Caenorhabditis elegans: one gene and its partner. The protein of the gene in region 2 purifies or fractionates together with the protein of the main gene of each other region. This does not show direct contact. Each region holds a gene or a part of one and is shown on either strand. Other genes may lie near its edges.

Evidence for each region.
Region 1: the proteins of nas-32 (region 2) and F35B3.3 fractionate together in Caenorhabditis elegans (co-fractionation; one large-scale study listed by BioGRID). This does not show direct contact.

Annotation. Positions count from the first base shown.
Region 1 is NC_003284.9:17,009,736-17,021,587, reverse strand, and holds F35B3.3 (USP domain-containing protein), read right to left. Parts: upstream 8,127-11,852; coding exon 8,077-8,126; intron 8,027-8,076; coding exon 7,915-8,026; intron 7,842-7,914; coding exon 7,789-7,841; intron 7,744-7,788; coding exon 7,629-7,743; intron 6,292-7,628; coding exon of another isoform or gene 6,190-6,291; intron 6,136-6,189; coding exon 6,031-6,135; intron 5,985-6,030; coding exon 5,821-5,984; intron 5,690-5,820; coding exon 5,587-5,689; intron 5,540-5,586; coding exon 5,429-5,539; intron 4,895-5,428; coding exon 4,637-4,894; intron 3,897-4,636; coding exon 3,774-3,896; downstream 1-3,773. Other genes in the region: dbd-20 (DB domain-containing protein), read left to right, coding at 856-1,056, 1,242-1,484, 1,618-1,857.
Region 2 is NC_003283.11:892,236-903,584, forward strand, and holds nas-32 (Zinc metalloproteinase nas-32), read right to left. Parts: upstream 6,953-11,349; 5' UTR 6,898-6,952; coding exon 6,829-6,897; intron 6,639-6,828; coding exon 6,381-6,638; intron 6,224-6,380; coding exon 6,000-6,223; intron 5,627-5,999; coding exon 5,401-5,626; intron 5,345-5,400; coding exon 5,261-5,344; intron 5,204-5,260; coding exon 5,001-5,203; intron 4,122-5,000; coding exon 3,997-4,121; intron 3,950-3,996; coding exon 3,717-3,949; intron 3,670-3,716; coding exon 3,545-3,669; intron 3,296-3,544; coding exon 3,177-3,295; intron 3,072-3,176; coding exon 2,879-3,071; intron 2,798-2,878; coding exon 2,695-2,797; 3' UTR 2,674-2,694; downstream 1-2,673. Other genes in the region: srlf-23 (SXP/RAL-2 family protein Ani s 5-like cation-binding domain-containing protein), read right to left, coding at 457-603, 647-829, 874-1,302; srlf-20 (SXP/RAL-2 family protein Ani s 5-like cation-binding domain-containing protein), read left to right, coding at 1,733-2,161, 2,208-2,390, 2,433-2,540; fmo-5 (Flavin-containing monooxygenase), read right to left, coding at 7,145-7,477, 8,352-8,733, 9,142-9,267, 9,317-9,631, 10,139-10,382, 10,429-10,523, 11,251-11,312. UniProt on the Caenorhabditis elegans protein: Metalloprotease.

The DNA of each region.
Region 1 (11,852 bases), on a different chromosome or scaffold from region 2:
GTTACATCTGTATTTTTTAGTAACACTCAGGAGTGGGCGCAAATTTCAAAATTTTTGAAAAACAATGTCTGGTCTTTGCCAAGTCTTTGAAAAAGCAGAGAAACTAATTTGTCTTACTATTAGTGAGTGCTTGTGAGGTAAAAATTATAATTCATTTTTCTTAATCATAATTTCAAGATTCAGTTTCCTGTTTCTAGAGGTTTAAAATTCGCAATTGCTAAACTATTACTGTCCACCCTAAAAATTTAACTACACACTGTCATGAAAGTACATGTGCTTTAAACATATTTAGTTTGTAATTTTTTTTGAAAGCAATAATGATAATGATAATCTCATTATCAAAATATAATAGGTAAACCATTGAAAATTGCGTACTAATACAGAAAACACATCACGAAAATTTGTACTTTGTTCTCTTTAAATTCGAAAAAATGTTAAGCTACATACTTGTCATTTTAAATTGCGAAAAAATATGTAATCTCCATCTTTCAATTTTTTTTGCATTCTTGGGGTTCGATTCTAGATGATCAAGAAGATCATGGCATTGTTCGAATCTGAAAATAATTGCGCGTAAAAAGTGTTTTGTCTTCAAAGTTGGGTAGAAAATGGTGACACAACCGATTGTCTACTTCTTACTTTGTCTTCACTTTCTTCAAAGAACCACCAGTGATGGCGGTGTAAAGCAGCTTACTGTTTGAATGTCTATTATTCTTACGTAACACGCAGCGACTTTTCCCCCTCTAACCACTTGATGCCTTGACTCATCAACAGGTCTTCTTTGTGAAAGCATTATAAAAAGTACTACGAACGACTGACAAAATTCAAATCGCTCAGTTCTTAGCATTCCAAAAAAGTATGCAGACTCTTTTTGCCGTTCTTGGTTTTCTTGCAATTTTGGCTGTAACAGATGCATGCTTTGCATCTGGAATTTGTGGTGGTGGGTGTGCTCCGCCACCACCTCCAGTGTGCTCGGGAGGTTGCGGAGGAGGTTACTCCTGTGGAAGATATGGCTGTGCAAAGGCGAGAGGATCCAAAACTCTTTCAATCAAGAGTGAGGTGAGAAATTTCGATCATTAGAAAATTGAGGTTTCCTATTAGACTTTGATAAAATGCCTTCCTCATATAATTTTTTATTTTCAATATTTTTCTATAATATATTTTAAAAGCTTTTGCTCAATACTTTAAAAAATAATCCTAACATCACGTCATTTTAAGGAAGTTCTGAAACTCCCAAATTCCAGAAAACAATGTCACCAGACGAGAAGTTTATGAGATGCTGCCAGGAGAGAAATCTTCCAGATGCCTGTCTTTCCAAGTGTTCCTTCCGCACATACACCAAGACAGCTCTCCAAGCCATGTACTTCAAGCAAGACTACTGCCCAATGCAAGCAGCAGCAGATATTCAATACTGTGCTGCTCAAGGGCAAGATCACACTGACTGCTGCTATAGAAACTCGGTTGGAACCACATTGGCCGGAAACAAAGTAGGTGTGATGGACTATAAAACTAGTATCGTAACGTTCAAATAACCCCCAAAACGAACGTTTGAAAACGTCTTTTCTTTGACGAATCTGTAAATTCAAAGTATATTCCAACCGATTAATTTGAAAATTTTAGTGCTTCACTTTCTGCGACCAGCGTCCAGGAAACGTCACACAACTTGACCTCTCCTACTTGGCTTGTTACGATCGTTTTGAGAACATGAAGGCCTGCTTTTGGCAGAAGCTCAACGAGCAATCCACCCCAGAGTTCTCATCTAACATCGATTCAGAGTCCGAATTCTCTGAGCAAGGACCAAACAGACACTTCGCACTTACCTCATCCCGAACCTTCCAAGCAAGAACTTTCGGTCAATAACTTATAAGTTTTAATACCTCTATGCACTGAACACTTGATTGTAAAAATTGCCGCTCGTCACAGTATTTAATATTTGTTTTCAATTCAGTAAATTTTCGATAAATTTTTACCGTTGATACGATAAGTTTTTTTATATGCCATTTCTATAGGTCTAGCTATTATTGCACCAACTGGTTTTCAGAAAGTTGGCCTACGCTCCCAGGGGCAAAAAATTAGGGACATTCACTTTAAAGAGGCATTATTCAAAGAAAAAATTGGGGGGTCATTGCTCTTAGGGGGCATTCTGAAAATTCTCAAAAGGTCATTTAAAAAATTTCAGAGGGTTATGTTGTCTGTGTATCTCTACAGGCTCACCTCTCACTACAGGCTCACAGGCTCTCTATGGGGAAAAACTGTTTAGATGTTGTGACATAGAAATTGTATGTACCAACTATGCTGATGTACCAAGTTGATACTACCAAGTACCAACCAGCATAGTTGGTACCTTTTCAATCTTTATGACGTTGGTCAGAACGTGAAAGAAATTTATGAGGCTGAAACAATTGTAGTTTCACTAAAAGCCGTATTTTTATTCAGTACACATTTGAACAATTTGCCCTCTGTGAGATTTTTAAAATGCTTATTTGTGAATTTTGAGAATTACCCCTAAGAGCAAATAGTTTTATCCCCATAGTGATCTTTGCGAAACCCCCTAGCGTACTTTTAAATTCATTCAGCCTCATGCCGTTACATCAACCAACTTGGCTGATGAACCAACTACCAATCAGCATAGTTGGTACCTCTTCAATCTTTATGACGATAGTCGGGCTACCTCATGCCACTATTGATTGGACGTGAGAAAAGTTTACGGGGCTGAAAAAATTGTAATTCCTGTCAACTCCGTTGAACTTTGTTCTTACATGATTCCATCCCATCATTATGTTTTGTTTTCATCCCAACCATTCGCCCCCTCCACTTTAGCTTGATAGACAAATTCCAATCCCCCGCTTTGAAATAGTATAAAAAGCGGGAAAAAACCGACCCAATCACACAATTTCCTTTTCATTTTCTTTTCATTATTTTTACCATACTTTTGCTCTTGTATCTTTTATTGATCTTTATTTATCTTTATATGAAATGGTTTAATAACCCAAGTTTGAGGTACCTTTGAAAAACCCCCCAACGCGGTGACTGAGGAAAGGAGAAGAGTTTTGGAACTCTTTTCTGTACAATTCCATCAAAATTTTTACTTTCAATCAGTTTGCATTAAAAAAATGCCTTTTGAGATTTTTACAATGAAGATTTTAAAGATTTTTGAGAATGCCCCCTAAAAGCAATGACCTCTAATACCACCTTTGAGTGATGCCCCCTGGGAGTGTGGGCTCAGAAAGTTACCTAGATACTTTTTGGGTGATATGTTCAAAATTTATTCAGAAGTAAAAGTATGATACAACTCACTGGGGCCAAAGTGTTTTTGGTGAGAATTGACGGAAGTTAGTAAAGCAAATTATCATTACAAAGTTGTCATTAATAAAAAAAATAATGGAAAATTCAAGAAATCAAATAAAAATGTAAGAGAAAACTTGTAAGTTTCAAGTATTTCCAATTATTATGATGTCATAGGTTTCCAAAAAGTGTAAAACAATTTGAGTAAATCAGCACTGGAACATTATGAAGATCAAAACTTATTAGTAGGATGTAAAAATTTAAGGTGGGATGAGAGGAGAATCAATTTGAACCGAGGAGAATTTGAACCAGTTCCTAATAAAATTAAAACTGTAACAAAATAGATCACTAACAGAATTTGGACAATAAAAAACTTACAGAGATATACGGTATTTGAAAGAAGTGTCACAAAATAATTCTTGAAACAGAAAATTTGATTGAACAGAAAACTTGATTATGTTTTCCGATCATTTGACATTACTACCAACTCATTAGAAACGCCCAGCACGACGCTGTCTGTAGTAGAACGCAAAATATGGAACCGAGTTGGCTGGTTCCGTTGGTCTGTTGATGTTCTGCTCGTAAATTCTGTTGTCATCCGCCAGAAACACATTCTGCAAAAAAAAGTAAAATTTAGTTAGGCAGCTTACAAGTCTTAATCGAAAGCAAAAGCACACTGGATCAAAACCCATAACCCAAAAAAAAACAAACGAAGCAAACTTTCCACGTCCATGCTTTTTTTAACAGAAAATGTGAAAATTTAGAAAAATATGTTAACTCTTGAATTGCTAATGTGAGTGAGTTTGGACAAATTTTTTAGTTCTGAAATTTGTGAGCCAAACTAAAAGTTCCCATGAAAATTGATAAAACTTTTATCAAAACTAAAGGTTTTTTTAAATCGACTTTTTTTTGAAAGCACAAGTGATTGGCAGATTTCAAACTCACTGTACATACACTATCCCTTCACGTTCTGAAATTCGAGATTACCCTCACTGTAAGAAATTGAGAAAATAATTTAGAAACAGATGGTTATATTTTACAAAATTTCGATTTTCATAACACAATTACACATTAGAACTTTTTTTTTGCCAGTTATCAAGTTTTTAAAATTTGGAAATTTTGTGTGAATTCCAAAGAATTGAAGCGTATGTTGCGAATTTTTTCGTGGCGAGTGAATATTTTATGTAACTTTTTTGGAAGTCACCAGAGTATACCGTTTTGTAGTTTTTATGTACAAATTTGAAAACTTGCCAACCTAGACAATGTTTGGCATTTGAAATTTTTTTCAGCAAACGGAATTTTCAGCATTTTCAAGTTGAGAAAAATGCCATTATTCACTTCAGGTTCCACTCACCCCGTGATGATAAACACGTGCCATATAGTGACCGCTGCTCTCATCGCGAAAACAATTGAACGTTCTGAAGTAGATGACACCACCAAGGTGAAATATGTCAGGCTCGTCGTTGTTTACCGAAATTGGTGAAAAATCTTCAGTTGGAAAGAACTCCAGCTCCTTTCCGATATGTCTATTGCCATCTTGGAAAGTGTCCACGGAGACGAGGATGACATCAGGAAATTCGTATCTAGTGGTTTCTCTACATGTCGTGTTTTCCTGGAATATTTGGCAACTATATTAAAAAAAAATATTATGATTAAATCTGCTAGTTCGGTTACAAATTAGAGCAATTTTTTAGAAGATATTAGACAAGTGAATCCTGAATTTCTTTGAAGTCCAGGACTGTAGGGCAACAAGTTTGGAGTCTTGATAAAATAAATTTTCCAGCTTCCAAACCACCATTTGGAAAAATGTGTGGCAGTGAATGGATTGGGCTCTAGATTTGACGTCTGAGCGTTTAATGTGAGTATGCCGTTAAGTTATTCACACCGTAAACGATAAATATTTCGAACTATGCTTCGTTAGAAGGTTAGTTTATTGCCAAGCTGCTACAGCATTACCGAATATTTTGATCTAGAATCAAAAGTTCTCAGTTTCTCAAAACACATTGCTTAATTCAGGTTGACTCAACGTTTTTGAGAAGTTAATGGGGCGTTATCAGAATTAACAAAAATACAAGATCTTTCAGCACTAAAATCTAAATAAACTTGCTTTTAAATTACTGATTATTCAGTTACGTGTTCCACTTACACATCCGTCATGCTCCCACGTAACGATTTCATTTCCAGTTACCGCCAGCATGGACTCAATGTTCGCAGCTGTAATCTCAAGATCTGGGCATCTCAGTTGAACTCTAGGACTCTGAAATCAATTAGTACATGTTTGCAAATCAATGAAAAGCGGCTTACTTTATCATTTATTTCTCTGCATTTGCCACACTCGTGGCAGACGGTTTTGTAATAAGCGGAAACTTGTCCAAATGTCTCGTCGTAAAACTCTTTGGAAAGTTGTCTGGAAAACGATTTTGGAATTACTTCAAAGAACAGTTTGGAGTTCCAAAGTAGGCAGACGCGAATTCAGGTCCGGGCGCCTGCCGAAACCCTGAAACCCCCTAAAAGAGCATTTTTTAAGGTGCATTATACCTATACCAGTCTTCAGCATCTTCACGGCACTTTCCATTAAATCCTCCTGGAATACTATTAAGCAGCTTTGAAATTGAAACACGAGGCCAGTCTCCTGAACCGGCAGCTGGAATAGAATGAGCAGCAAATTGTGCAACTAGCGACTTCATATGCATGTCCAATTTCTGAAATGTTATTTTTTACCAGTTTAAAAAATTGCATTTGTCATACGGTTTCTGCAATTTTCTCCTTGACATATCTCACAAATGGAGGGCAGGCAAGAAGAGCCTGGCAAACTGAAATGGCAAAGCATTCGAGGCAAGAGTTATAGATTGGCTGAAAAACAGGTTTTCGCTGAGAAGTTTGTTTTTACAAAATGAAAAATCTTACAGCTGGCTTTAATATCGGTTTGTTTTCGAATAGTGCAATGACTTTAGGATTATTGAAAATATCTTCGAAACGGCCTTTATTTACAGAGATCACATATTCCATAGTGATATTTGTTGGATCTGCTCGTTTGGCTTTGAGGTTCTATCAGGTTGTCCCATAAGTTTTTGTACTATTTTTTTTTTGAAAAAAATTTATTTCTCTCAAGCGACAAGTAGTACTATTCACACAAGTATTCACCATTAGTGTCCACCACTTGTTGCCATTTACTAGGTAACATCATGATGCCACGGGAGAAGAAATCCGGCGAACGCGATGAGAAGAAAGTGGAGAGTTCAGTTTTGAGATGCTCTTCGTCGTCGAATTGCTTGTCGCGCATGTAGTCACTGAGAGACAAGAACAAATGGTAGTCGGTTGGTGCAAGATCTGGAGAATATGGTGGATGCGGTAAAACAGTCCAACCAAGATCATGCAGCTTTTGGAAAGTCTTCTTGGCGACATGAGGCCTAGCATTATCGTGAAGAAAATATAGTTTTTCATATTTTCCGTTGGTCTTTTCTGCAACTCGGTCCAATTGGGCACAATAGTAATCAGCAGTGATAGTTTTATTAGTTGGCAACAATTCCCAGTGCACGGGTCCTTGAACACCCCACCAGACACAGATCATAATCTTTTTTGGGTGAAGATCAGGCTTTGGCGTCGGTATTCCTTTCTCACCGATCGGAAGCCATTGACGTTTTCTGGAATGGTTAACATAGAGCACCCACTTCTCATCTCCAGTAACCAGATTGTTCAGCCAATCGAACTTTCGACGAAAAGTTAGAAGTTGAGTACAAACGTTGACCCGAGTGAGCTTCTGTGATGCCGAAAGTTCATGAGGCACCCAAATTCCAAGTTTTGAAGTAAAACCAAGGCGACCCAAGTGACGTGCAATTGTGCTATGACAACACTCAAGCTTCTCTTCCATTTCACGAAGACTAAGACGAGGCTCTTCCTCCACCAGCTTCACTAGGTCTTCTTCATTTAACTCTACCGGTCGCCCAGAACGTTCTATTTCTTCGAGACTGAAGTCGCCGTTCTTGAACTTTTGAAACCAACTCTTTGCTGTATTATAAGAGAGTGCTCCCTCACCCATCGCACCGCATATGTTTCGTTCCGCTTCCATTGCTGAATGACCAAGACGAAATTCATAAAGAAGAAGCAATCTAACGTCTCGACGTTCAAGTTTGATGATTGTCATCGTGGCAAAGTAGAAATGGATGAAATGAATCTTTTCTGAAAGGGGACGACCCGACCTTGACACGACCTACGATGAAAAAATTTTAAAACTTTCTAGAAGTTTTGGAAAAATATTTGAAAAAAAGTACAAAAACTTATGGGACAACCTGATATAAAACCAAAAGTATACGCCTTAGTTTCAAAATTTCTAACAAAAAGCATACTTTATCAACATCTCTTGTTCCGTCTCTTCCGCCCTTCATTCGATTCTGGCAATTGGAAACTGACATACGCTGAATTTTACCCCAAATTGATTCGCCACCAATGTGCTCAGCATTGCTGAAAGTTAGTATTTGTACTGTTGACTGTCAAGTAAAAAAAAACCTGTTCACATCAGTTTCACACGGAGACGACTTTTTCTTGAAAACATCACGGAGCTGAAATCAATAAAAAGTTAGTAAATTTGGAGATCTTGTAGATGCGCATTTTTACAAATTTGTCAACAACTACCCTGCTCAATGAATTCGTGAGCCTCGACTCCTCCAAGAGACGAGTCAAATTCGGAACTGGTTTTATTTGCCTCAATTTGCAATTGTTGTTAGGAAGGTAGCATTTCCAGTTACTGTAAAAATTAAAAATATGTGAAAAGAACAAAATTGGTGTCAATTCTACCATTTGTGTTTTTTCTCTAGATATCCGGTGTAGAATCCAGACGGGGGCATATTTTAAAATGTAATATAATGCTGAAATTAAGTTTGAATTGTTCTAAAAAAAAAAAACAATAGAGTTACAAATAAAAAGTCAAATTAATTTGGAAAAATTTCTAGCAGGAAAATACAAATTTTAAAATAAAGTATTTTGTAGTGTGAATTTATTTAGGAAATTGCCGAAAAGGAAACATGCTTAAGCTCTGTACATAACAAAGCTGTAAGTTTAAGTAAGCTCCAATTTCAGCCATTCCACATATGGTTTATCTATTACTTCTGCATATGGCTGATCTACTACTTCAAAAGCTAGACGGATTGCTAGACCAACCACCCAATTTTACAATCATCTGCAGTCAGAGACTGTTACAGAAATTGAGCGTAGAGAGCCAAAGCCACCAAACTTGTAAACAATTATGCGTTGGCACATGAACCGTCACGACGCAATAGGTGCCGCAGCTGAACAGTTGAGAAGAAAAAAGATATTGAGAGGATTCGGAGTACAACAAAAAATAAGGTAAAAGGCAATTGTCACTAATGACAGCTTACTCGCAGCTGGAGAATTTTGTGGGGAGTTCCCAATAATTCCCAATTTACATAGAACTGAGTGGGAAAGTATGTGTCTGAACTTTTTTTTCGACATAAATTAACAAAAAATTAAGGAGTAGATTTGATTAGATATTGTTAAGAACGTTTGTTAAAACTAACATAATACTTTTTAGATTTTTTTATACCACATAATAACAGAGAAACCGCCTCAAAAATTGAGATAGAAATAGCGAAAAGAAAAAAATCTTTGCCATCACATATGGCACAGATATTCTTATGAATGAAGAAATCGACGCTTTTAGCTAAACATGTACCACCCACATCACGCGATAATCTAGAAGACTGTGCATATGGACTTTCTATTTTCAAGAGGAGCGCTTGGAGAAAAATAGGGGAAATTGGAGTTTGAAAGCAGGAGGCAATTGTAACATGAATCATACTATCAAACAAGTTTTTGTAAATAAAATCGATTATTGGCAGGAATCAATAGAGACGTCAATTTGTTTCTATGAAGGAATCGGGTTTTATTCAAAATTTGATTTTTATTTTTCAACTACAATACTATGTTTGGTCATGTGGGCTGTCTTAATCCGAAAGTGCAACTTTTTACTATAATGTTTCGGTTTCAACGTGTGTCGTACTATACTAATACGTGCGTTTTTTATTAGTTTCAAGCTTAAAAATGTATTGGGGCTCCGTGGAATAGTTGATCCCACAATTTGGCTCATTTTCGAAAATTTGAATTCTGAGTTGATACCAGGGGTGTGCGGCAAATCTCAAAATTTGCCGAGCTCGGCAAACGGCAAATTCGGCAAATTCGACAAATTTGCCGCACAACCCTGATTGATACGCCAGTTTTGAAAGACAATATTTGAAATAGAGGTTTTTTTAAACCGTATATTTGCCGATTTTACAGTTTGTGTATATCCTGTATGATATTACACCAGAAACTTTGGTAGAACAGGTAACCAAAATATTGTTGAACAGGTAACCAAAAAAAAAATTTATAGATGTAAATAAAATACTAAAGATGTATAAAAAATGCAGAAAAAATGCAAGTTTTTGATTTGCCTATAAATATGTTGTAGTAGAAGGAGACTGTGAGAGTGATGCAGTTATCACGAGGATTTTGATTTGAATGTGCAATTGACCAATTCAAATGTCGATGTATAGGGCATCCACAGTAATGAACGGAAAATGATAGGAGATAACATTCAATTCAGTGGTATGGTATTGGTGTATAAGATTTGAACTACCTAAACTCTTCGGTGGTAACAATTGAAGTAGTATTTAGGGGTTCAAAAACATGTAGTAGTTTATTGAAAGCTTGAGTTAGTTTTTGTTAATTAAGTTATAGCTGTTCAAATAATTTGCACGATTTTGAAAGCTGCTAGCTCTGTTATTGAAAAAATTATTTTTCCAGACAGCAACAATTGAGCAGGAAACTATGAAGCATTAATTATCTTCAAAAATCTAGAATTTTAAACGCCGGATAAAACTGAACAACAGATACATTCTACGTAACTTTTTCGATAGACCACCATTCACGTCAATAGAAATTTCGAGAAAATAAAAAAAAAGCAACACGTGAAGGGTATAATTTGCGGCGCTATCACACCCGGTTAACATTTATGTGACAAAATTGAACAGTTAAAAAAAATGGCTGAATTAAATTCTCAAATTCTCCTTTAGATTTAGGATATCCCACAAAACTTATTAGACCATAGGTGGATTTTTCGTTGTTCTAGCGCTTCTTGAATTTTTGTTTTTACAAAAAAATATTTTCCTCAATTATGAAACTTAGCCAAATATATCGCTGCTGATAAAACAAATAAATGAAACCACGAACTATCTCTTTTTGAATGAAATGAGTTACTGGTGAAAAAATACATGAGTGGAGAAATCATGGTAGTTTCACAACTGTTCTAAATGGTGTTGGACGAGAGAGCATACCTGTATGAGAAGCTCCTCTAGACACCCCATGCTCAAAAAACAAGAATAGCCGTGATGTTTGAAGGGGGAGTGACGAACTATTGGAACTTGCTTAAAAATATTCCATGGTACCACAATAAACAAATATCATAGCAAAAAATCAAAATTCTTTTATAAATTTTATACGATTGTTTGAAAATTGGAAAAATATTAGTATTTGCCTAATTCATACTTAAATTATCGCCAAGTGAATTCGTTCGATAGAGCGCGTTTGTACGATATTATTTTCTTTTATTATTTTTTCATATTTTAAAAGGCTGCATATAGTCAATCTATAATTTCGAGGTTTTGGCAAAACGCCATATTATTCATCTGATTTTACCTTTAGCCACTGATTTATTACAATAGTTTTGTATCTTCAATATATTTTCATGAACTCTTTAATGTTTGTTTACAACCGTTTTAATTGGTTACGAGTTTTGATCTCAAAATTCGTAAAAACTGTAAAATTTTAATTTGAAATTCTGAAAAAAAAATGCATTGTTGCATACATTTTCTTAACTGTTAAAGTTTACATCTCTTTGAGGTCTTTTGTAACGGTGACGTCATTGTAGTGTTGGTGTAGTCTTCACTGACAGTTTTGTAGAATAGCTCAACATTTTCTGTAACTCTAAATCACGCTACATAGTAAAAACACAAAGTTTTCAATGATTTATTGAATAAAAATATTAATAATTTGGGTGGGTCGTTTAGTCCAACCGGTATCCTATTGCAATAATGCACAGGGCCAGGAAAGAAAAAGAGAATCAGAAAAAAGGGATGAGGGGAAGGGACAAGTTTCGGACATTTGCAGTTCCAGTAACATTGATAAAAAATGTATATAAAAGAAATTTTCAAATTTTCAAAATAGGGAAAATTATTAAAAAAGGAATATTATTTCATTTTCAGAATCCACACGAAATTTATTATGGGGGTGAATAGAACGGAATCGCTAGTATTCCGCTGATTACCGGGACAGCAAAAGTAGATTTCAGTGGGTGGTGTGGGAGAGAGGAGACAGTTTTCAAAAACTGCGGACTAGTGAAACAGTATAGACTTGGAGATTCAGGAGTCTGTCACAAATGAAATTTTTTTAAGGAAGAGAATAAAAACAAACGAAAAAGATTAAAACTGATTGAGGGAGGGGAACGTTCCAATTTGGGCAAGAACAATACGGAATTCAAGGGGAAGGGAAAAAACATATCAAAACTAGTCATGAAAAAC
Region 2 (11,349 bases):
CAATTTCGGTGATATTTTTAAGACTCCCTGTTTGTGGCGAAAACTGTAAGAGGTCAATTCATTACTTTGGTCTCTTGTCTAGTCTTTGAGGTCCCCTCGCTATGTGCCTCTTGGCATTGCCATGTGGCAAAGTGAGTGGGAGCAACAAGACGGACAACACATTGTGTGAGAGTGGAAAATAAGATCTTTATTCTTCTGTTTGTGGTCGAAGACTTGGAGATCTTGGAGAACAGACTGGTAGTAATACCAGCTCAATAAACTGTATTATGAGATTATAATCTTTTTCTACAATAAGGCACTGGTCTACGATTGTTAATAGTATTTCAGATAATGCTATTGAAAATTAGAAGCGGACTATATTGAACTGCAGTAATTGAGTTTTCGTTCTACCACTACACTTCCAACAAACTTTAGCTTAAACTAGTTTTGAAGTTAAAAATTTGAATGTTCGATAATTTATTTACATGGAAATATACAAAATGAGAATGCAATTAATCGAACATTAATTGGAACTTGTGGAGTTGAAACGGGGAGCTCTGGAACACCAATACCTCCAAGGTTATTGAGAAGTTGAGTAATGATGAAGAGAATTGTGTTGAATTGCTGAAAAATAAATGAATAGGAGAGACATTAAAGAATATCTTACAATTTCATTGTTTTCCTTCAATTGATTGATAGCTTCTTCTTTTTCTTCAGTAGTTTGATTACTTTCGACAATAGTTCTCAGTTGTTGGAGAACATCCACAAGACTTCTGATGATTTCAGAAGCTTGTTCAAATAGTGATCTAAGCAATTCAGAGACACCAGCTACAAGTTGATTGAGAGCATCCTAAAATCACAGAATATAAGAAGATTAATAGAGTATTGACTTACTCCGAGAGATGGATTTACGGCATTAAGTTGAGAAACAACTTGTTCAATTGGTGTATTAGCAGTTATTGAAGATAGAATTTCTTGAACTTTTTCAAGATCTTGATCGGAAATCTGGCTAACGAAATTATTCAAAAGTGTAGTTATTTCAGAGTTATTTCCAAGGAGTGGTAATTGCAAATCGTTTGAAGGTAGATCAAGAATTGTCAATAATCCATTGACTGCATTTTGATTTCCACCAAGAAGTCCTCCGAGTATTCCATCATCTCCAAGGATGCCTCCAACACCTCCTACTTCAGGAACTCCACCAATTCCTGGGTTTCCTAGATTTCCTCCCAGAAGTCCTCCTAATCCACCTTCTCCTAGAATCGGAATAGCTGTAGACAGTGCAATGGAAGCAACGAAGACAAGAGCAACTTTTGACGAGCACATTTTGAAATAATTATTGTTCAGTTAAAAATTTAACTGGGAATATGAAAGTGAAACTGATGACTTTACTCTACGCTCACCGCTACTTTTATACAATTTTTCCTGTAGACAAAGGGCGAAAATATTTTTATGATTTTTGAAATTCGAATTAGGCAAATCATTGTTAAATCAAAAATTGACATTTTTATCAAATAACTTTCAATGATCTGAAACTACTATCTGTCTGGAATAACATATGATGGCATTGTCTGCTGTTCGATGACCATTTCATTTGAATATACTGTCGAGTATTGAATAATAGTTTAAAAAAACAAACATGTGCTCAACAATCAACTTTTGTTTCTGGACAGTTCCAGTTTATATTTCAGAGATCGGAGCAATGCAACAGTATAAAAGTTGAACAGACTGTGGAAACTCACATCAACTTTACAAAATGTGTTCGTCAAAAATTGCTCTTGTCTTCTTTGTTTCCATTGCTCTTTCTACTGCTATTCCGATTTTAGGAGAAGGTGGACTTGGAGGACTAATCGGAGGAAATCTAGGAAATCCAGGAATTGGTGGAGTTCCTGAAGTAGGAGTTGTTGGAGGCATCCTTGGAGATGATGGAATACTCGGAGGACTTCTTGGTGGAAATCAAAATGCAGTCAATGGATTATTGACAATTCTTGATCTACCTTCAAACGATTTGCAATTACCACTCCTTGGAAATAACTCTCAAATCACTGAACTGTTGAATAATTTCGTTAGCCAGATTTCCGAACAAGATCTTCAAAAAGTTCAAGAAATTCTATCTTCAATAACTGCTAATACACCAATTGAACAAGTTGTTTCTCAACTTAATGCCGTTAATCCATCTCTTGGAGTAAGTCAATATTCTATTAATCTTTTAATATTCTTTATGATTTGAGGATGCTCTCAATCAACTTGTAGCTGGTGTCTCTGAATTGCTTAGATCAGTATTTGAGCAAGCTTCTGAAATAATTAGAAGTCTTGTAGATGTTCTCCAACAACTGAGAAATATTGTCGAAAGTAATCAAACTACTGAAGAAAAAGAACAAGCTATCAATCAATTGAAGCAAACCAATGAAATTGTAAGATATACTTTAATTCTTCTCTATTAATTTATTTTTCAGCAATTCAATACGATTCTCTTTATCATCACTCAACTTCTCAATAACCTTGGAGGTGTTGGTGTTCCAGAACTTCCCGTCTCAACTCCACAAGTTCCAATTAACGTCTAATTAATTGCATTCTCATTTTGTATATTTTCATGTAAATAAATTATCGAACATTCAACATTACCCAATTTTGTTGCATAGCAAAATAATTTTAAATGTAAAATGATCAAAGTTCAACTTGGTCAAAAGAACAGTAACGAACACAAAATATTTTATTTCAAACCGGATTAGTACAGAAACCGCAAGTTTCAGCGCATGAGAATTCGGCGGCAAGTGGCGGTTGTTGGGTGCACATTCCGTTCGTGGAGTAGGTAGAGCATCTGGAAGGTGAAATTTCGAAGATTTTAAAATCTAGGACACTTGTGACGTCACTCCTCTTCCATGACCTCCCCAAAACTCACTGGCTCTTGGGAAACCTGTCCTTACATGTCCCATCATCTGACGCCACCTTCCCACACAAATCCATAGTCGCCGCACACATCACCTTCAGCTGAGCAGTGTCATAAATTGAGCAACCCTGCTCTTTTGCACTTTTCAAAGAAAGACACGTGGCTTTGTCGGATGTATCAGCACATGCGGTGACGTTAGAGTCCACTGAAATTTATGGAATTAGCAATAGAGTGACACTGCGGCCTGCCTTGTGCCTACCCCTACGGTTTTTCGGAGAAAATAGGCAGGCAGGCCTAATTTAGCGCTTACCGTATCGATATGACCATGTGTACGTGGTTTTGTAGTACCGATTAAAGCTGAAGACGGGCATCGGATTGACACCGAAGTCGGCAGTCATGATCTCAGCGTTGAACTCGTCGCAACAGTACCTGAAGGTTTCGAGGTTATCTTTCGTGCAAAAATATGGCTACCATGATCTACCATGATCCATGATCTACCATGATCCAGAATCTACCTCGATCTACAAGGATCTACCATGAGCCAGGATCCACCATGATCAACCATGTTATATCATGATCTACCATAAACTGCCATGATCTACCATGATCTACCATGATGCACCATGTTCTACCATGTTCTACCATGATCTACCATGATCTACCATGATCCTAACTTACCTCGCCTGCGTAATTGTCATGTCACTTTTCAACTTCGGTTCAACTCCATTAAATGTGCACCCGTAGACACATTGGGTGTTGTACGTGGAATCGATTCGAAATTGAATTTGCTTACCGACAGGCGCCTGGAAACCTTTTTTTTTCAATCAAGATAACTTTTCCGGCTAAAAACCTGAATCCAATGATTACAGTAAACTGCGCTTGGTCTCGCTGTGGCGGAATTTGACGCATTCCCAAATGTATACGTCTCCTGCTGCCACGTGTCAGTTGCAGTCAAAGTGCTTCCACATCCGTAATCTGTTCTTTCAGTGCACAAGGCTCCACCAAAACCGTACGGGCAAATGCAAACGGAACAGTTTGCAGGGTTCGTGAAGCCGCCATTTCCACAGCTGAGAATTGTTGGGCCTGAAGGGTTAGAGTTGGTTTTGGTAGTTTTCGGTAGATCAACTCACAAGAGCAAGAGTAATGCGTGTTGAGCATTTTCAAGTCCAGAAAAGTCACAATTCGTCCGCCCATGGTGTATACCATCACCGGATCTTTGGGCACTATGGAATCAACTCCGCCGGATGAGACAAACCTGGAAAGGCCTTTCAGTGGGGTACTGTAGGTAGGGTTACTGTAGTGGTATTGTAGAGTTATACTGTAGGGTACACTGTGAGGATACTGAATGGTTACTGTAGGGTTACTGTAGGGTAACCGTGGGGTTACTGTGGGGTTTAACAGTAGGGGGTTATGCTGAGGAGGATACTGTAGGGTTACTGTTGTTACAGTGAGATCGCTGTGTGATTGTGATTAGTGTAGGGTTATACTGTAGGGTTACTGTACGGCTAGGTTGCAGGGATACTGTAGGCCTACTGTAGGGTAACACTGTAGGGTTACAGTGCAAGGATACTGCAGGGTTTTACTGTAGGGTTACTGTAGGGTCATACTGTAAAGTTACTGTAGGGTTACTGTAGGGGCTCCACTGTCGGGTTACTGTAGGGTTGTTCTGAAGGGTTATTCTAAATGGTTACTGTAGGGTTGTTTGTACCGTTACACTATAGGGTTGCTGTAGGGTTACACTGTAAAGTTCCACTGTAGCGTCGTACTGTAGGGTTACTGTAGGGATACTGTATGGATACTGTACCAGTACACTGTATGGTTATATTGTAGGGTTACACTTTATGGTTACATTGTAGGTTTTCTGTAGGGTCATTGTCGGGTTGCTGTAGAGTTGTTCTGAAGGGTTACTGTAGGGTTGCTGTAGGGTTACACTGTGAAGGGTTACACTGTGTTGTAGGGTTACAATGTATAGTTACATTGTAGGGTTACTGTAGGGTCACTATCGGGTTACAGTCGGGTGACTGTAGGACTACACTACAGAATTAGACTGTAGGGTTGCACTGTAGGGTTACTGTAGGGTTACTGTAGGGGTGCTGTCGAGTTACACTGTATGTGCTTCATGAACAAAACATACGCTCTTCCCGAATAATGCATGAAGCTTCCATATTCATAATCAACGAGGTTTGTCGATGTCGCTTCAGTCAATTTAATAAAGTTTTGTTGAGAAGACTCCGGAACATCGGTAAGATCAATGGTGACATAATCATCACGATCGGATCTCATCTGGGTGTGAAATAGCCCCAAAGTGTGGGCTATCTCGTGAGCCGCCGTGCCGGTCTGGAAACTTTGGGTGAAACGAAAAAAAAATTTTTTTAAATAAGAAATTTATCTTACCACTTCACACCCGTAGCCCAGTGATAAGGTTTGCTCCCCTCCGAGCATTCCGGTGTCTGAGTAGCATCCAACACCGCTGAAAATCTGAAAATTTTCAAGTTTTTTGTTTGAAAAATGTCGGCTGAAGTAGTTTAGAGGACCTTTACTCGATTTGTGGCCGTGCTATTCAATTCGAATTTCAAGCATGTATTCGATTCCAAGAACGTTATCGCATCACGCACAATTTGCTGAACTGTCGTCGTAAGACCCGAATCGAAATAATAGTACACAACTTTTCCGGGCCAGAATTGAGCCAAGTTATCGATTTGACGCTTTTTTCGTCGGGATTTTGAGGACTGTTCAGAGGAAATTTTCGCGATTTGGTTGCTGTAAAAGTTATCATTCAAGCAGCGGGTACTGTGTGGTTTGTGTAGGGTTACTGTAGGTTTAATGTAAATTTACTTTGCGATTACAGTAGGATTACTGTATAGTTTATGTGTGCTGACTGGAGGGGAACTGTAGACTTTATATAGGATTACTGTAGTGTAGGGACGCTAGTAATACTATTCACTGATGAATTACTGTAGGTATATTATAGGGTTGGTTTCGGTTTACTGTATCAATACTGCAGTGCTATAGAATGGTAGATGCAGGGTTACTGTAGGGTTACTGTAGGGCTACTGTATGGTTACTGTAGGGTTACTGTAGGGATACAATAGGGCTACTGTAAGGTTACTGTACCTATCCATTCCGCACTTACTTATTCAAATTGATGTCTCCTTGAAACAAATACTCATTCAATCCGGCCCGTTCATTGACTTCGAACATGTCCAATGCTGGTGGATTCTCGGTTATCTTCACTTTTCGATACGATTTGTGAAGTTTATTCGATTCCTTTTTGGTAATTTTTGGAATTTTCATCATCTTCTTTCCCATTTTCTTTAGCTGCTTCTTTCGTTTTTCTGGAGGGACTCCGCGGAGGGCCTGGAAAAAGTTGAAAGTTCAGGGTGGGCGTTCAGGGTGACCTAGAATGTTCAAGGTGCCCTAAAAAGTTCAAAATGGCTCAGAAAGTTCAGGGTGGCCTGGATACTTCAGGGTGGCCTAGAAAATTCTGGGTGGCTTTAAAAAAATCCCAAGTTACCTTCCTCAACGACTTCCTAGCTTCTGACTTTAACTTGTAAACTCGTGGAGACGTTGTAGGTGCACTAGTGGATGTAGTTACAGTACTTGTTGGAGTAGCGGCCGTCGTGGAGTTGATTCTCGAATTCCAAGTCCATTTCCAAAAGTACGACCCGTCGGGCAGCTTGGGTACCGTTACTGTCTCATGTTCAGGCTTTCCGTTCTCATTTTCGAATTTCCAGTCGAATTTTCGATCTCGTTCTTCTTCACTGTTGTTGTCCTGTGAAATTTTGGTTACGACGCTCCATTTTTTGGCCTAGAAATCTGGAAAACTCGGCCACCAATATATAAGTTAACTGGGTGGTGACCAAGCTTTCTCAACTTCCCGGGCACGTACCAAACCCGAAGTGGGCAATAATTTTCAAAAAGTTAATACACTCTAGTGATTAAAAAAATCCAAAAAAACCTACCTTATCAGCTAAAATAAAATCTAGAAAAATACTCAAAAAACCGATATAACAAATAAAAAATCGACGCATTCAGTGTGTGAGAGACATTGGCCACAACAGTCCAACTCTCCCCACGCCGTGGTATGTTTTAATCCCGCCATATGTCTTTTTATCCCTATTTAAAGTTCAAAGCGGGCGTGGAAGAGGAAACGTTGGTTTGTTGAGTAGCTCGGCCACCGGGAACAGGCTAAAATATGGAAGAAGCCATTGTGATTGATTTTTATTTTCATAAAGGTTTTTTTACAAAATAATTAGAACATATAACATATACTATAGTTCACTGTCGCTTCTTTCCCTCCAAACTCTTCCTCGCGATTTTACTATTCGTAGCTCTCTCCGATCGATAATCCACGTCCCAGATCGCCGCCTCGGCGCCTTCCCACTTATTCGGACCATTCAATCTGAACACATATGGAACACACGGGCCAAAGTATACTTTCCAGGCTGTCAAGGGCTTCCACATCCAGAGAGATCTCATGTCCGGGTTGCATCCGATGATTTCACCAAGTTCATGCATATAGGAGGCATAGTCGACTTGAATAGTGTGACGACGACTTGCCACGTAGCGAGCACTCATGATTTCTCGTTTTTCGGCGATGTCGGTCAGCATCTGAAAAATATTTTTTATTAATCTAGTAAATTTAGGACCGAGGAACTTTTTTTTTTCTTTTGGAGAAGAGACGCAGAGTTCTTAACTTATTTCGCATGGTTAAAAACGTGCTGACGTCACTTTTTTTTGGGCAAAAAATTCCCGCATTTTTTGTAGATCAAACCGTAATGGGACAGCCTGGCACTACGTGGGCTTAGGCTTAGGCTTACTAGGGAATATTGTTAATAGGGGAATTGCTAGGAAGACAAAACAAACTTTAAATGACAGGTGAAGCTACAAAAATCATTTTTTGGAATCTGCTAAACTCTGCCCCAAAGCTGAAATTTTCGGCCTTAAAAATTAGTGCCCTTCCCTAGTTAGGCTTAGGTTTAGGCTTATGCTTAGGCTTAAGCTTTGATTTAGGTTTAGGCTTATGCTTAGGCTTAGCCTGAGGTTTAGGCTTTGGCTTAGTTTTAGTTTCAGGTGTAGACCTGGCGTCAGTGGCGAGCGTTAGCTCGCTACTGACGCTATTTAGGCTTAGGATTAGGCTTAGCCTGAGGTTTAGGCTTTGGCTTAGTTTTAGTCTTAGGTTTAGACTTAGGCTTGGGCTTAGGCTTAGGCTCAGACTTAGGCTTGCAACCGGACTTCGATCTTTTTTTAAAGATTTTATGGATTTTCAGACCAAAAATTAAAAAAAAAATTGAAAATGTTAAATTTAGTTGGAATGAGAAAAAAAAATCGGTCATTTTTATGGTTTTTTTTTAATTTTTTTGGCTTAAAGTTATTTTCTAAGCAACACTGTACATATTTATCTTCGCGCCTACCGCCTATTTCCTGCGTTTTTGCGTAAACTCCGATTTGGTGGTTTTGAGGTTCACAACCTCGTCACACCTACCTGATCTTTACTCGGAAGCTTCATCCCATTTGCAAATGACTCCATATAGACTCTCGCCTGCATCTCACTGATCGGCATAATCGATCCCAAAGGCTGAATCAACCCAATCACCGCCAAAGTATTATGGTCAGCAGTTGCCAGAGGAAATACATACTTGTAGATATCCGACTTATTCTCATCGACTTCAATCAATTTTCCGCCCTCGATCATGTCAAAATGGTAGGAGAATCCAGTGGCAAGAATAACTTCATCGACTCCTTCCACAAAAGATCCATCATCGAATTGAACGCCTGTCTCGGTGAATGACTTGATTCCTGGCTTGACACGAACGGTTCCACAGGCAATTCGATTCGGCAACTCGTCGTTGAGGGTGAGATGAGCTCTGCAAGATTTTACACGTGTTAAGAATATATATAGTCACAAAATTTGTATAGCGCTCATGGTACAGGCTAACTACAAAATGCAAAACTGAGAAAAATCAGAAGTAGGAGTGGACAAGGCTCAAAGTGGCAGCGCATTAGCAACGTATCGTGTCGGTTGAGTCGACGCTCAGTGAAATGTACGCTGGCGCGCAATTGGAGCAATGTCTCAGCGTAAACTCTGGAGAATATGTCTACTAACACGGAGCAAGACATATGTATATACATAACACCAACTGGATCTGGCAACCCGGGCGTCCAATTTCCGAACTTTCACTCCACGTTCCATATATTCCGGTTTGCCAACCCTAGTTCCGACACTATCAGATGCCAAGACCACCGTATTTCTTTGTAGGAAAAGGAAAACTCACGCCATTGCCGCATGCTTCGGCTTCAATCCATACTTCTCGTGGTCCACCTTGTTGTTCAAAATTCTCTCGAAATTCCAGTTCATAATTGAGCTGGGGATCATATCAACTAGCTGCATTTGGAATTTTCTAAAATTTTCTATTTGAGGGGTGGCTTATAAACTAAAAAAAAACATACGTATTAAAAACCAGGTCGACCGGTTCTCCACGATCAGAAAGTCGGCTGAAAATCCAGCTTCCGCGTCGAGTGACCAGGTAGACTTGTTTGCCGATACGACTCAGCTCGACTGCACAATCACCGCCGGAATTCCCGATTCCAACGACAACAATCACCTTATCCTCATAGCCTTTATGATCCTTATAGTCATGAGAATGAATAATTCGGCCTTTGAATTTTTCCTGTCCTGGCCATGGTTCGGGAATGTGTGGGATCGCGTGGTGTCCGGAGCAGATCATAACTCCGTCGAAGATCTTTTCGTGGAATTTTCCGGATCTGAAATTTGGAGAAATTGTGTAGGCTTTGGATTAGGCTTTGGTTTGGATTTAGGCTTAGGCTTAGGCCTAGGCTTAGGCTGAGGCTGAGGACGAGGCTTAGGCTTATGCTAGGTTTTTTTTTTAAGTTTTTTTTAGTCTTGTTAGGCTTAGGCACAGGCATAGGCTGAGACTTAGGGTTATGCTGAGGATTAGGCTCAGACTTTGGCTTAGTTTTAGGTTTAGTCGTAGGCTTAGACTGAGGCTTAGGCTTAGGCTGAATCTTAGGCTCCGTCTTAGGCTTAGGCTTATGCTTACATCACGGCTATCGTTTTTGGTTTTTTTGTTGGAAAAAATGATTTTCTGGTTTTTCGGACCAAAAGTCGAAAAGTCAAAAAAAAATAGCAGCATATAAATTTTTTGTATTTCGTTAAAAGCTTGTACCTACTTCACACTGTACCTACATCATGCCTACCTCTGCGCCTGCCGCCTATTTGAAGCCGACAGACCTACAATTATGAAAACTTACTCATCAGTGTACCGAACCTTCCATTTTCCAGTGGTACTGTAATCATGATTTCTCTCAATCGAAACCACACTATGATTGAGCTTAATATGCTTCAGAAGCCCATAATGCTCGGCGTAGCTCTTCAAATATCTGCACATTTCTCTGTTATGCATGAAGTTTGCCATAGTGTCTTCCGGCGGGAAATCCGAATATGCGGTCATTTCTTTGGACGTATTGATTACAGTCGACTTCATAACGGTTGACACTGAGAAAAATTGAGCTTGAATTTTTGAGAAAAAAAATTGACTTACGGTCCGTTTGATCGGGCTTAAAGTTCCACAGTCCTCCGATATCTCCGGATTTTTCGAAGCAGGTCACTTCGACGTTTGGGTGAAGCAGGGCATGTCTGGAAAAAATAGAAGTTTCAGTTTTTTTTGCGCGTAAAATGTGGTGTACTGCAGCTGTGAACCTCACCGCAATGCACTATATTTTACGCGCAAACTATTACGGAAACGCCAAAATTTTAAGAATGCGTATTGGACAACATAATTGACGCGCAAAATATCTTGTAGCGAAAACTACAGTAATTTTTTAAATGACTACTGAAGCGCACACGTTGATTTACGAGCTCGATTTTTGAAAAGTGACAGCGATATTACATTTAACTGTGTTTCTTAAAGGAGGGCGCATTTATGAGAAAGGGTCTCGCCACGCGCCATTCATTGATTTTTGGAGTGCGTGGCGGGACCATTTCGAAAAAATGCGCCCTCCTTTAAGGTCGTACGAGTGAAGAAAAAATGCACTGTAATTTCAAATTTAAAAAAAATTATTGATAAATAAACTTAAAACAAGTAAAAAAGTGAGCCCGTAAATTGACACAAGCGCTACAGTAGGAATTTAAAGGATTACTGTAGTTTTCGCTACGAGATATTTTGCGCGTCAATTATGTTGTCTAATACGCATTCTCAAAATGTAGTGTTTTATCTATTTTTCTCTTCAAAATGAAGTTTTATATTCAGATTTTCACATTTTTAGGCAAAATTTCAAGAAATTTTTCATTTTTATCACAAGAAAAAAACGGTTAGGGTATAAAATTGGTATTGCCTCGCACTTCTAAAAGAGAACCCACATACCTGATAGACGGGAGCCCGGAGGCTCCGGCACCGACCACAAGAAGTTGTTTTTTGGCTACCATTGTCGAAAAAAAAATCGTTACGATTTGATAACAAAAC